Linked DNA regions of Arabidopsis thaliana. The protein of the gene in region 1 interacts with the protein of each later gene in a pairwise test. Each region holds a gene or a part of one and is shown in the gene's direction. Other genes may lie near its edges.

The links. The genes of interacting proteins can lie anywhere in the genome.
Region 2: the proteins of HOS10 (region 1) and AT1G21000 interact in a two-hybrid assay, tested with the Arabidopsis thaliana proteins (one large-scale study listed by BioGRID).

The regions. Positions count from the first base shown.
Region 1 is NC_003070.9:13,074,383-13,083,155, forward strand, and holds HOS10 (high response to osmotic stress 10), read left to right. Parts: upstream 1-3,507; 5' UTR 3,508-3,543; coding exon 3,544-3,676; intron 3,677-3,755; coding exon 3,756-3,885; intron 3,886-4,033; exon of another isoform or gene 4,034-4,391; coding exon of another isoform or gene 4,392-4,547; intron 4,548-4,922; coding exon of another isoform or gene 4,923-4,999; exon of another isoform or gene 5,000-5,391; intron 5,392-5,507; coding exon 5,508-5,883; downstream 5,884-8,773. Other genes in the region: AT1G35510 (O-fucosyltransferase family protein), read left to right, coding at 1-42, 137-293; AT1G35516 (myb-like transcription factor family protein), read left to right, coding at 4,392-4,533, 4,923-4,999; ARF15 (auxin response factor 15), read right to left, coding at 8,437-8,485, 8,575-8,762. UniProt on the Arabidopsis thaliana protein: Transcription activator.
Region 2 is NC_003070.9:7,335,631-7,341,948, forward strand, and holds AT1G21000 (PLATZ transcription factor family protein), read left to right. Parts: upstream 1-1,974; 5' UTR 1,975-2,288; coding exon 2,289-2,291; exon of another isoform or gene 2,292-2,295; intron 2,296-2,376; coding exon 2,377-2,580; intron 2,581-2,667; coding exon 2,668-2,883; intron 2,884-3,140; coding exon 3,141-3,458; 3' UTR 3,459-3,822; downstream 3,823-6,318.

The DNA.
Region 1 (8,773 bases):
TAAGCGGAAACTAGTCCAGCTCTTAGATAAACCGAGCATTAGGTACTTGATTTCTTTATAACTCTTGACATCAAGCTCTTAGATTCCTCTGCCTCTAAAGCATTTTCTTCGGTTTGGACGTTTTTTTTTTTTGTAGATGGGACTACTTCAAGAAACAAATGCAAGATATGCTTAGACACAATGATGCAAAGGGAGTCGAATTAAGGAAACCCGCTGCATCACTCTACACGTTCCCCATGCCCGACTGCATGTGTAAAGAACCCGATCCGGAACCTGAAACCGATCCAGCTTAAACCGGATTCCTGCTGTTCAGTGTTAATTATTGTTTATGACTTCAACCATACATGTAACTTATCTATATATATGTTGTATCATGAGTCCTGTATAAGCATTTTTCCCCTTCAAAAGTTGGGGGAATCTAAGATTAGTATTTTTTTATTGATACGAATTTTTGTGTGTACATAACATTCTTTCAACATTAGTGACCATTCTCCCTTCTGTCCCATTGTACTATACTACTATGCACATTTTGGTCTCTTTTGATAATCTATGCAATGGCTATTGGACAATTGTTTCATTCTAATCTGTAGTTTTTTTTTTTTTTTCAGAACTCAGTTACTTCATATAAGATGCAAATAATATATATGTTTACATATTCTTATTAGAAAATTCTTACAGTCAGAATTATTAAAGAAATTTTCATAGGGTATGGGAAACTTTAGGATTTTAGTCTTATTTTGGTGTTTTGACTGTATAGTTGTATTTGCACATACCCCAAAATACAACTGTTTTAGCAAGAATTTGTTTTGAGTATTCTTTTTAGCAAATTACATCTTTGTTTTTGTTTTGTAAAAATGGACAAGTGTTCTTACCACTTTTAAACCCTTAATCTGTTTTATAGTAGCTGTGTTTCATAGTAAAGTAAAAGTATTGCGAAAGTATATGGAGAGTGTAATTAAATTAAACAAAGAAAGAACAAAAAAAATATTTTTCTTTTCTCGAAGAAAAAAATCTTCTCGAAAAGGAAAACAAAAAGAAAGATAGTGCCAAAAAGGCAGGTAGGATACAATTTGGATCTTGTTTCAGTGTTTCTCCACCACTCATTTTCCTTCTAGAAGATTAAAACAACCCAAAAATAACTAGTAATAAAATAACTCATTCATATCACTTGTAAGTTGTAACAAAAAAACAAATCCATCAAAATAATATCCCCACCAAACCCTTTCTCTTAGTAGTATAAAATCTAAGACCATGTTCATTGGAAGGGCCTTAACAGTTTCTTAAGGGAAATCCTCAAATAATTTTAACAAAAAATAAATAAAAATTGTGATTAAAGCTTAGACCATCTTCATTGGTGGTTTCTCACTGAGAAATTCTAAATAAAAATAAATCAAAAACATTAAAATAATAATTTTTTAATCAATTTTGTTCAGGATCGTTTATGAAATGAGAAACTTAGAGAAACTTTCTCTCTCTTCCACATGTCACCTTGTTATTAATTTCTTTTCTTTGTTATAAATACAATCATCTATACTTTATAACATCAATTAAATACTTTATATGTCTGTTATTTTTTTTTATTTTTTTTACTTTTAAAATTCATAAAATTAAATTATCTATATAACAAGCTCTATTATGTATATGTTTAAATTATGTACTAATATTATTTAATTGGTGTTAGTTATAAATACAATAGTTTTTTAATTACAAAACAAACATTTAAAATTTTCTATTTTTATTTTGCAATATTTTCAGATTAATGTAAAATTGTGATTTCAGATATATGTATTTAAAATTTAATCATCAATAAATCTTTTAATTTCTACTTATCTTACATAAGTGGTAATCCATTACCAAGTGAAAGACTTAATTTTTATTATGGTTTTATATGTAAAGTAATGTTTAATTATGGTTTTAAAAATAATAAAACTACTTAATAATATAATTTGTAAAAATAATAATTGATATATTTAAAAATATTGTAGAGATATTAAATTTAATATATGAAAAATATAATAATATTTTAATATTAATAAGATACCTATAAGAGTATCTCACCAATGGAAGCACAATTTTAGTATAAGTTTCTCTACTTAAATTAAATATAAAAATATTAATAATATATTATGAGGTATTGATGTAGTATCTCACCAGTGGAGATGCTCTTAGGTTCGCACCTAATTTTAGAGTTTATTCTGATCTCAAGGGGCGCATACGTGGCCATATATTATTGGCTCTGTGTTTGACAAAACAATTTTTTTTCTCGCTTTTGGCCTTGTTTATTTTTTCATTTCACGATTAATTTTCTTTCTCTTCTCTTGTAAACTCCGGAGGCCGATCGTACGATTGGTGATTATCATCATCACGCGTCGTCTCTTAATAAGATAGTTTAGAGATTGTGTTCGTATCGATTCTTAAAACAGTTTTATAAGTTTCGTTTAACTGATGTTTCGGGCTCGTGGAATTAGGTTGTGCTTGCTCGTAACAGCAGGATAATTTACTGATACCGACATTGATCCCATTGCTTGGCTAGCACAGTTATAGGTGTGTTTTGTGTCTGGATATTATTTAGTAGTTAATTTTTAGATTAAACCAATGTTTCAATTTAGATATCACTAAATTTTTGTGTGATAACAAGTGATGTTGATAAAGATATGTGCACCTTCGTTTTTTGTTTCTAATAAATATGTTTGCAAACAGCCTGAGAGACTTTTTCAAAGGAATCGATTAGGTGTCTGTAGTGAAGCTTTGGCTGCAACTAGGCCTAGAGCTGCTTCAAGGGGTCGTGATATGGAGATAGAGCGTGACTTACTAACCAGGTCAATTTTTACTTGAAAGTGCTTTGAACAATTATAGAATCCATTTCATTGAAATTTCCTGATATGCATACTGATGTGATTTGCTAAACTGTTGCAGTCAGTTCTCTATTGTACGAGAGAATACAAGAGAAAAGTTAAACGTAAGTTCAATCTTGATGTTCTGCAGTTTCTGCTTTGCAGGGTATATGTGACAGGGTGGTTGTTAAGCCCCAAAAACTGTGAGGAAGCTTGCAAGAGTGCAACATCTATATTCTCAATTGGCAGGGAAACTCACGAAGGAAGATGATGAGGTTATATAATACTATTGGAATAGTTTTTACATTTCCAAGCTCTTTTTTTTCTTCGAATTAGCTTTAACCCTTTGTCAAATAAATAAATTAGCATATTTTGTCAAGTAAATATTTATCATATTTATTTTTTTAAGAAACCCACTTAAGGATTCACTAATGGACTAGAAAAAAGTTTAGGATTCAACAAGAACTTTAATTTCAAAAAAATTCAAAATTTATTAGTATAAAAATGTAAGGATTCCATTATTAGGACTCCTTAATGGACATGCTCTAAGGAAAGAAAGAAAAAGAAGGTAACCTACCAAATCTTTTTCACCCACAAAATACAAGATACATACACCAACTTGGTCAAAGTCACTTCCTTTTTATAACACCTCTCTTTAGATCCTAGTCTCACTCTTCTTGTCTCATCACCCACACATGTAACCATCATCATGGGAAGATCACCATGTTGTGAAAAGGCTCACATGAACAAAGGAGCATGGACTAAAGAAGAAGATCAACGTCTTATTGATTATATACGTAATCATGGTGAAGGCTCTTGGCGTTCTCTTCCTAAATCCGTTGGTAAATTTCTCCAAAGTTTTGATTTTTTTTCTTTCAAATTTTTATGTTTCTTGATCTGATGATTTTATCTTTTCTTTAGGGTTGTTGCGTTGTGGAAAAAGTTGTAGATTAAGATGGATTAATTACCTTCGTCCTGATCTTAAACGTGGAAATTTCACTGATGGTGAAGAGCAAATCATTGTCAAACTTCATAGTTTATTTGGCAACAAGTAATTTCCTTTCTCTTAATTATGATTTATGAACAAACCAGTTTTACTGTAAAAAAGTAAAACCAATGGTTAAACCGTGAAAGACTAAAAAAAATGAAGAATCGGGTTTTGGTCATTAGTCCGAACCGGTTCACTGGTTTAATCAGATTTTAAACCGGGTGTTGTGAGTCTTTTTAATACCGGTTTTTGGTGATAACTCAAATCGGATAGCTATTCGATTCACAGTCAAACTGGTTCAACCGGTTTGAAAACACTGGAGAAAACTAATCAAATGGTTTTCTCTTCAGTTTATAAAAATGAATAAATGTACAATTTGGTTTATATACAAGCAGATCCAGTATTGAGAAGATAGCATTCTATGCGTTTTGAATGGAAAAGAAGGTTTTGTAGGCTTCTCTCTCTCTTCTCTCATTTGCATCTTTTAGAGAGAGAAAGCATCTGATCTTCTTTTTCCGGCAACAATAGCTTCTTTAGTGTTTGTTGGCCAGTTCTCTGTCCAGAATCTTATGGCTTTTCCAGCATGGATGTCTGGCTTTTGTCCGGCGATGTTTAGGGCAACGTTTGATTGTCGTGGTTCTTCTGACACTGTTCGGTTCTTTACGACGATGGTCGGTTTGCGTTTGGCTTCCATTGGCTTCTTTAGCGGCGGTAGGCTAGCTAAGGTCTAGAGTTTCACCGCCTATCTTCGGTGTTTCGTCTACCTTTTGGCCGGATTGATTCCGGTTTAGATTTATGTTTTCTTCTCTCGATTTCTTTATATTCAGTTTGATTGAGCTCTTTTGCGTTTCATTGTTAGATCTGGCATATAATTCCTTGAACCTCCTTTGTTTAAAGGGATTAATTTGTTTTCCACGCTTATCGATTTCATTTTTTGAGAACAAATTAAGATGCGGATTAAGGTTTTTTATGCTTATGGGTTGAAACTATTGCAATTGTGGCTGTTTCTCTAACTGATCTATGGAGACGAGTGCTTTTTTGTTCTTTTTTAAGGTGTTGCTGAAAGCTCCATCGGCTTACTCTACGTCGATGTTCTTTAGATTTCAGGAATCAATTGCCTTTGGGAGATCTTTCCTTTCCAAATTTGCTAATGAAGTTTGGTGGATTCTCTAATTAAAAATCAATGGACTTCTCTTGAAGCTCCGGCGGTTTCCGGTGGTTTTAGAGTTCCCTGAGTTGCTAACCAGAACGGTGGTGAATGGCGACAACTAAGGCTTCTTCAGTCAACGTGTTTCAACTTTGTTTGTTAACATCACACGTGGCTTTGTGGTGGAAGGGAATCTTTAATTTACTTCCTCTAAAGGTTTTGTTTCCTGGTTTGGGCTTTCTTTATGGGCCTCTGCTTATAAGTTAGACTTGTTGGTTTTTTATGTAATATGGATGACTATATTTTAGTTGATCCAATGTTGTAAGGTTTAATATGTGTCAAGATTTGTAAGTGGAAGGTTCCACAGTTGTATCTTTACAACATAAGGTTTTAAATAAAGTGCAACACTTATGAGAAAAAAATAATAAAAATACAAGCAGATCCAATTTGACAAAACCAAATAAATAACCGGTTTAATATACCCAAATGACCAAGTTTTAAACCAATGTTCCTTACATTTCGAATGTCTTTTTTTCAGATGGTCTTTGATTGCTGGGAAATTACCGGGAAGAACCGATAATGAGATTAAAAATTATTGGAACACTCATATAAAAAGGAAGCTTCTTAACCGTGGTATTGACCCAAAAACTCACGGTTCGATCATCGAGCCTAAAACGACATCGTTTCATCCCCGAAATGAAGATTTGAAGTCCACGTTTCCCGGTTCTGTTAAACTAAAGATGGAGACTTCTTGTGAAAACTGTGCTTCTACGAGCGGTACGACTACGGACGAGGATTTACGGTTAAGTGTTGATTGTGATTACAGATATGATCATCTGGACAAGGAGCTAAACTTGGACCTAACACTCGGGTACAGTCCGACTCGATTTGTCGGGGTCGGATCTTGTTACTAGCTCGTGTGACGTTTGTGTTTGTAAATTGGGATCACATATGAACCTTGTATGAATTGCTAAACGGGTTCTTTTAATGATAATAAATCTCATAACAAGTTATGTCTTTTTGGAGTTGTGTGCACCAAAGATATTATTTAGGGTTTGATTGGTAACATTGCGTTTAATAATATAGTTGAATAATACAAATTTGCAAAATAAAACTCGCAAAATAACAGTGTATACATATATAATGATATTTACATATATATATTTTTACAGTTATTTTGTGAAATAAATTCTGTAGTTTGGACTTATTTACAAGAAAAGCCACATGTATTTACAAGAAAATTACAATCTTTCCATATATATTCAAAAACAAAATCTGTGAATTTTATTCCACAAAATATGCATAAATCCGATTTATAGCAAATATGTATATTAACATTTTCTATAGCAATAAAAATACTAATTTATAATAATTAAAATATTCACACAAAAGTCATATACACATACAAGAAAAAGAACTAAATCTATCATCATTTAAGCCGTTGCTTTATTTAAATAAAAAAACACAAAAACTTGAAATCATATACTTTATATGATAAATTTAAAATCTATATTAGTAGTATAAATTTAAAATCATTCAAGGGACGGTATATTACGGGTGAGATCCTAAAATTATTGGATTTATAATAATAATAATTTTTTTTCTTGGATTTTATAACACTAATAATTTAGCTAACGAGATAATATAGACAAATTTATATGGGATGACGGGTGGTCATATGCGTTGGGGTATTTTCACGGATGTAAACATTTGATTAAGATGGTAGTTAACTCATTGATGTCTTCGTAGTAGATGAACTACTGTTGAGGGCTAGAACTGGTCGATGGTTGCTTAATGAATCAGAAATATTACTATAAAAGAAATTGATAGTATAAACGAAATAGTCTTATCCTTTTATTTGGCAAGTGAGTACCATGTTTTAGATCTTTCAGAAAACTTGGTGAATAGGCTACTCGACAGCTACATTTACCGTGAAAATTTTAGCCAGATGGTAAATGCTCATATTATCTATGGTTATGAAAACGTTACTGGAAAATAAACTAATATATGAAGAAAAATATTTAAAATTAGATGATGATGCTGTTTTAAAATGTATAAATGCATTACTACAATTATCGATATGTTCAAGTGTGTTTTATACTTTTTGTTATACAATGACGTATATTTGAATATGATTTTATTTGTTCGTTACTTGAATGCAATAAAACTTACTGTATGCATTGGACAATAGATTTTTTTTTTGTAATCTTCTTGCATATATACACTGAAACGTTTATTAAACAAATATGTCGCATCTATGCAACCAATATAATTTTTACAAGAGTGATTATTCATATTATTTTCTGTTCGCAAAACAAATATATTTTAAGATAGAAGTATACAACTTGGTCCTCCCTCCTTTTCTCTTCCTTCCTTCTTGTTGACATTATCAATTTTGTCCTTCTATTCCTGATTTTTCATATAAGTTACATTTTAAATTTCCAAATCACATAGTATCTTTTTTTGTGCAACAATCACATAGTAGTATCTTATTCCTTAATCTCTCAAAAAAAATCTACATTATTGACTGTTTTAATACAATTCAAGCATGTTTTAGCGAACTATGCGTTTTCTTTACCGCTTGGTTTTCATTCGTTTGATCTTTGCCCGGATATTGTTAAGCCGGTTTTGTTGGAAGATACCAATGGGTACACGATACCCATGATTGTCCGATTGTAATTTCTTTACATTTATTTGAATAAAACATAGGGGCCAATTGCCTCCTATCACTCACCAAAAAAAAAATACAATTCAAGCATGTGAAATGAAGAAAAAACTCTTTACCAAAATATGAATACTCGTGATGCCGTTACACCCTATCTATGATAACTTTTTATATCATTTTCTGCCTCTACTTCTTTATTTTTGAATTTTCTCCAATCATGATAGTTGAAGTATCTATTCACACAATACTTTATTTTATGTATGATTACGACTTAGTAGTTTTATTTGAATATGAATTGGCCGAAACTCCCTAGTTTTCCATCATTATATATTAACTAGTTATGAGTGATGACACAATTGTAGTGATAGATTTAAGGAAATATTTACTAATAATATAACATATTTAACAGTATCATTTGGTTTATGTCTCCAAAATATCCGGTTTTGCAAGTACAATAATAGGTAGAAGAAAATCTTTAATTTATTGAATAACCATATACTTCGTGTTACACAATTTCCTTTTCAAAATATCATAAAATAAATACTATACTCAAATGTTTAGAATGTAGATGTGATCTGTAGATTGTATAAATTAGAAAGAAAGCTCAATATCACGACAACAAGAGGATTTTATTTTATTTATGGACGATGAAAACAAAAATACATAATACAGATGCATGCAACTACAAATAAGAGAAAAATAAAAATAGAACGAGACACCGGTAACATTTTCGACCCCTTTTTATTACATATGTTTTGATTCTTAATTCAACTTGAGAGACTCTTACTGGACTTCAAGTTTTTTACCTCCTCTTTTGAATATATATCCTCTTCACCATGTTGCAGAATTCACTACATGCAAACAACACAAAAATGAAATATCAATGCCTCTCAAGATTTTAACTAATCTTTCAATCGATAGAAATAGAAAGGAAACTCACGGCCATGGATCGTCTCCAACAAGCATCTCATCCTCGTCACTACCTGTGAAAATTATTTTCCATTGGTTGCGAGTTTGTAATTGGCCTTTGAGATCGAAGAGCTTCTCCAATTCTAGTATTAGCTGATCATATCCATTAAGAACACTTAAATCCACAGCTCTTCCTATTGTTACACCTTGCATTTGAACCTGTTCCATAT
Region 2 (6,318 bases), 5.7 Mb from region 1:
AATCTTCGTTAAAAAATATATAACATTTGGGTGATGATTAAAAAAGTAGACTGTAGTGGACCCGCCACACCTAATCGTACCCAATGATAATCCGGTAAGGTTCGGTTCCATTTGTCCGCATTCCCAAACTTAGAAAATGAAACGGAAAGAAAAACATAATGTGTTTTAGTTTTTATCTTAAAAAACTATAGACAAAAACTCAAAACATTTTTCGGATTGTATACCAATAAATAGAGAGAATGTAGTTTTAACCTCGCAAGTCTCAACTGATGATCCGACTCGTCCAAAGCATGTTTATAGATTTAACTAGTTTAGCTACCATTCAAATTTGATTTTTAGGTTACCGTCCATTTTTATAGGACCAATTCTATAAGAAGTGGTTTAGATATCGGGTAGATTTTCATTTTCCGACTTCATGCATGATTTAGTTCTTAAAACTTGCATGTTTGGCTTCTACTAAGACAACCCTCGTTTTTCTGACGACTCACGTGGTCAAACGGTGCACAAAGGTCACGTGAGGCACGTGCGTTCTACTGTTTAAACGCCTCTTCTCTTTTGCTTCTTTTTTGCCAATTTGAAAGAGATAAGAATACAAATTAAAAAGATGTTTCTTCCACTTTCCTCATCGCCGTTCTATGCTCACTTTCTTTGGTCGGATTTCCAATTACATTGTTAACTATTAGTGGTCACATAATTTTTTCATGACGTGGATCACACTTCTCTTTTTACATGTCTATCTCCTTAATTAGTATCTTTAATTGCTTTCGACATCAAAAGCTAATATCTATGTTTTACACTCTATTAGTTGTTTAATATTCACAATATTCAATATCAAATCTCACCGTATTTGGAAAATGTTTATTAGTTCAGTACATGACACACTCGTAATCAACATTTTGAATTTTTTAAAATGTTTTATTTGTTCAGTACATGACACACTCGTACATTTCGAATTGCTTACTTTTTTTGCTTTAACAACGTCCAAGTACAAAGGAGATTCTCTAAGACTACAGGATTTGACTTTTTACCAGAGAATCTATCAGGTTAAAAACGATACACACACACACACACAAATTTACAAAAACAACTCTAGTCTCTCTACTTCTAAAAGTTTAATAATTTGTTTTTAACTTTGAACTACAAACGAACTCCATTTATTGTTTCTTGGATCACGTTAAGTAACGTGGCAGCTGAACGTTGACCTATGACTCAAAGTGAGTCCCACTCTAACTATCATCTTGACGGCTCAGAGTTCTCCACGAGTGTGAAGTGTCAATCGGAGGAGGGGGTAAAACCGTAAAAGCTTCCGACACGTCCCACGAAAAAGGATAATACGAGAAGGCTCTTCTCATCATCCAACGGCTCACGATTTAACAAGACTAGTCTCGCTTCTGTCTCTTCTCATACCCGTCGATCTGTCTTGGCTTTTCAGCTATCGCCACCTCTTCTCTCTTTTTTGCTTATCTCTTCAATTTTCGGATTTAAATTTTACGAAAAACAAAGAATTAGGATAATACTATTTGTCTCTCTAATTCTGACCATAATTAATTTTTATTTTCATATTTGACTTTTACAAATTCAAGTGTGGGAGTTCCTTTATTCTTGTTGTATCACTCTCAATGCTTAACTAGATTTGACATCCACATATGTGTTTGTCCGCTTATTATACATATGATGATATGAAAATATATCAATCATTATATCATTCGTAAGCTGAAAAATTAGTATGCTATTTTTTTCTATGTCGAAACGTAATTATTTATGACCATATTTGAACAATAATATCGCATTTTCACCTTTTATTTTTAACCTTTTAAGACTTTCCTTTTAGGTCTTCTAGATGCACACTGGACAGACACGCATATTCAAGATACGTGTGTTTTTGGAGGACTTCAAAAAAAAAAAACGAGATAATGATTTTCCCAAATTACATAAAGAAGAAAACAAATTGATTTTCCCAAATAAAGGAGTCAGAAAAATATAATTTAGGAACAAACAAAAAAGATACCTTTAATAATAAACAAAAATAACTCTAAAAATATTTTAAAATGAAATTCGTATGAAATATAAACCGCATAAACTTATCGTGACCGCCTTCAAATAAAAATAAAACCCTTTATTTTCTCTCTTTCAGCCGCCGCTTTCACTTACCTCTTCCTCTTCCTTCTTCTTCTTCTACCTTCTTCTCGTAAAGGTTTTGCTACACACTGGAGCTCGCAAATCTGGCTATCGAAAACCACAATCACAAACTCAACTTCGGGGCCTTCAAGGCCAATCACAAGAAAGTCATGGTGAGTCTTATTTTTAATTCTTTTTGTTTGTTTTTACCTTGCTATCAATCTTCTCCAGATTCTGATTTGGTTTCGTTTTGTTCAGGGACCAATGATAAGAACAGAGGAAGAAGAAGACTATACAAGTCCACCGTGGCTAATGCCAATGCTACGAGGGAGTTACTTCGTCCCTTGTTCCATCCATGTCGATTCAAACAAAAACGAATGCAATTTGTTCTGTCTTGATTGTGCTGGAAATGCCTTTTGCTCTTACTGTTTAGTCAAACATAAAGACCATCGTGTTGTTCAGGTTCAATATCTCTTCTTCTTCTTTTTCTCCTCCTCAATCTCTCGGTTTTTTAATTGTAATGTTAATGAAAAGAATCAAAATTTGCAGATACGAAGATCTTCGTACCATAACGTTGTGAGAGTGAATGAGATACAGAAGTTCATAGACATCGCTTGTGTTCAGACATATATTATCAACAGCGCAAAGATCGTGTTCCTCAATGAAAGACCTCAGCCTAGAATCGGTAAAGGTGTTACAAACACTTGTGAAATCTGTTGCAGAAGTCTCCTTGATTCTTTCAGGTTCTGCTCTCTCGGCTGCAAGGTATAACACAAAAAGACTCTCCCTCTGTTTTTTCCCCTGTTTTCACCATTTTTGTTTGAAACAATTCATATGGTTTTAACAAAAATGTAAACTTTCTTAAAACCCATTAACGCATTTCACTTCTTAATGATATCTATATCAAATTTTATCCGGTTTTGTTTAGTTTTGTTCGTGATTCATGTGGATATGCTCTGTTTTTGTAATGTTATTTGTGGAAATAACGATATTGTCCTTTGGTTGTTTTTTGTTCTGTTTAGCTTGGAGGAATGAGGAGAGGAGATTTATCTCTAACCTTCTCTTTGAAAGGAAAGCATGGGAGAGAGTACCTTGGTGGGTCGGAATCAGATGAAGCTACTACACCGACTAAGATGCGTAAGACCAATGCTTTCAACCGTCTGATGAGTGGTCTCTCGATCTCAACCGTTAGATTCGATGACTACGGTCCCAATGGTGATCAAAGGTCTTCAAGCTCTGGTGATGAAGGTGGTTTTAGTTTCTCTCCGGGAACACCTCCGATCTATAATCACCGGAATTCAAGCAGACGAAAGGGTGTCCCTCACCGTGCTCCGTTCTAAGAAAAGATAATTACTAAATTTCCAACCCCATAGTAATTAATTATATATATATATATATAGATAATGGTATAATACAATGTATAACTTGGGGTGAAATTTAGGATGTAGTCATAATGTTGTAAATGTGTATTATTTCTTTTTATAGTTTTTCTAAAAGATAAAGGTGAAATAATTAGAACACATACATAAATACATTTTTTATAAGTATAGAAGAATTAGGTTTTATAGTGGAAGTGTTTGATGTTTAGTTTGTTTAAAAGGCATGGCTTTGTCTTGTGTTGTAATGTAATGTGTACATTAAATTTTTGTTCATACAATAATAATATCAAGGTGAATGATATATTATAAAGTTTATGCGTTGTCTAATGACTAGTGACTACTATATTTAGTCTATATCACCATTTTGTGACATTCATCTAAAACAAATGTTAGTGTAGTCTAATCCTTTCATGAACTGTTTTATATGGTAATGTGTAACTGAAGTCATGTCGTCATGGTTACATGGTTTGTATAAAAGTCGTAAGAGTGACACTGAGACATATTTTTCAATACTATTGATTGATTTGTTGTAGTTTGACGTAATCAAGAAGAATATTATAATAGTATACGCTAAAGAATATTATTATGCGGTTTAAAAAGTGAGCAAGTGGATAGAGGAAAATAAGAGCCGTGTGGAATCCGAAAGGCTGCGATTCTCTCTCACCGTTAAGAGACGGGTGTTCATTCCTTTTTCTGATCGCTCAAAATTATTCAACATCATATTTTAAACTCTCTACTAATCCACGGAATCGAATAATTGGCAAACTGTTATTGCTTATAAAATTTCATTAGTTATAATAATGTTTTAATTATGCCATTTCGTAAACACAAAAATCGTTTTCTGTAGCTTTTTAGGTATCCCACAAATTTACGTTTTCTTCTTTTCACTAGGTTTTCACACTTAAAGCATCACAACTTTTTACTTTTACCAAAAAAGTTCCGAGCTTGGTTCATAATTTCTCGGAGTCGAAAACTAGAATTTCAAATTATCTTGTTTAGGATCACTACAAATTTTATTTTACGAAAATGTTAACATCAAAAATAATTTATATAAGGCGGTAATCACATATTTTCAGTATATATAGTTTTTTCACTGTAGTTTGGTTTTCTAGAATAAGTAGTTACACAAAGAATTTATGATAAACGACTGTGAATGTGTGCTTGTCCTAAGTTAGTAGTTACCGAAAAAAATAGAAACAATATCTCAAAATAATATCGGAGTCTCACTTGTAAGTTGTGAAGGCCACCACAACATATATTTGTTGCATTTCTGTCTAAATCTTTGAACAGAAATGAAGTAAAGGAAACAAGAAATCGCATTATTTCTAATCTTATACTTTTGGATAAAACCTTTGCTATTTTAGTCCTTGCCAACAACAATACATGTATACAAGAGAGAGTATTGCGACCAAGGACCGTGGCTCTGCCACGTAATCTTAGACCGGCCCCTACCGGCTTAGGCAGCGACCGAATGGGGGCATTATAGACTTTTCAATAGGTCGGACTTTTCAGCTAGTTGTGCATCCTCGTCACTCCGACTACGACACGTGTCGAAGAAACCCATTAAGTGTACGACACGTGTGTTGAGAGAGTGTGAGGGGACCACGTGAGACCTTGTGTGGAGTTATCTTGTTCAGTCTCCCAAGACGTTAAGTAATCAATATAATATTAATGGGAACGCTAGCGACACGACGGGATAAGGATTTTGGTGATGTATTTAACTATTTCTATAGTTTTGTTGTCGCTATCGAAATCGTGATATTTTGTTTATTTCTGTAACTTTACTTAATGTGGAATATAGTACTTGTTCTTAATGATCACATAGAGTTACGAAAATGGTGTTAGCAAAACATTAAAATCTAGGATTTCTGACAATTAAGAAAAGATAATAAAATTTGGACTAGCTTGCAGTTTCACGTACGGACACATTATTACACATTAGGAGATTGTTTTGTTTCCTACAGTTTCATGCGTTTACTATAAAATAGTATTTTTATGATATAAATCTCCTCTTGACTATCAGATTATGTCGGAACCGAACCAGTACCCTTCTGTCTTTTTCTGCTCCTAAACCCTCTATTATCTACGAATTGCGATGAAAGCCGAAATTTCCACAGTACATTTAAATATTATATTCAATTGTGCCAAAGTAAATGTATGGTTCAAATTTGATTCAATAAGATACTAATTAGATGCAAGAAAGGAGACTAATCAACAATGCACAACGTAAAAGTAAATAATTAGAACGGATAAGTAATATTAATTAAGGCACTAATATTAAGGCTCTCAGCTCTGGTTCGTGGAATCAATAATTACGTATTGCTCTACATTAGACGTTGTTGCTAACATTCTTGTATTTTCTGTTACTTTCTTACATTTGAAATACAAAAATGTACTGTAACAGATATTATATTTCGTTATAAAAATCAGGCTTCTTCATTCATACATTGGTAGACTACAAAAGGTAGGCAAAGATAGTTTTCAGCATGGGGACAGGCAATATAAACGAAACCCTGAGGTCTATTTTTGGTTGTATCAATCCTCCTATATTGTTTGTTTCCGCTGGGTCCATATTTGCTAAGGCTATTTATGGTCCGTGGTTTTCTATCTTCCAAGAAACTAATTCTTTGAATCACGACGAAACTTAATATACGTCATAGACTCGTAGGATATTTATAGCTTTATTTTGAAAGTAACGTTATATACGTACCTAATGTGTGTATATATATAAATTAGTTTGGAGTACAGTGAATGATTTGTACTTTGGTGTGGTTCTTCAACAAACGTCGTCTGTTGTGAACCGAGGATTTGCAACTATCGG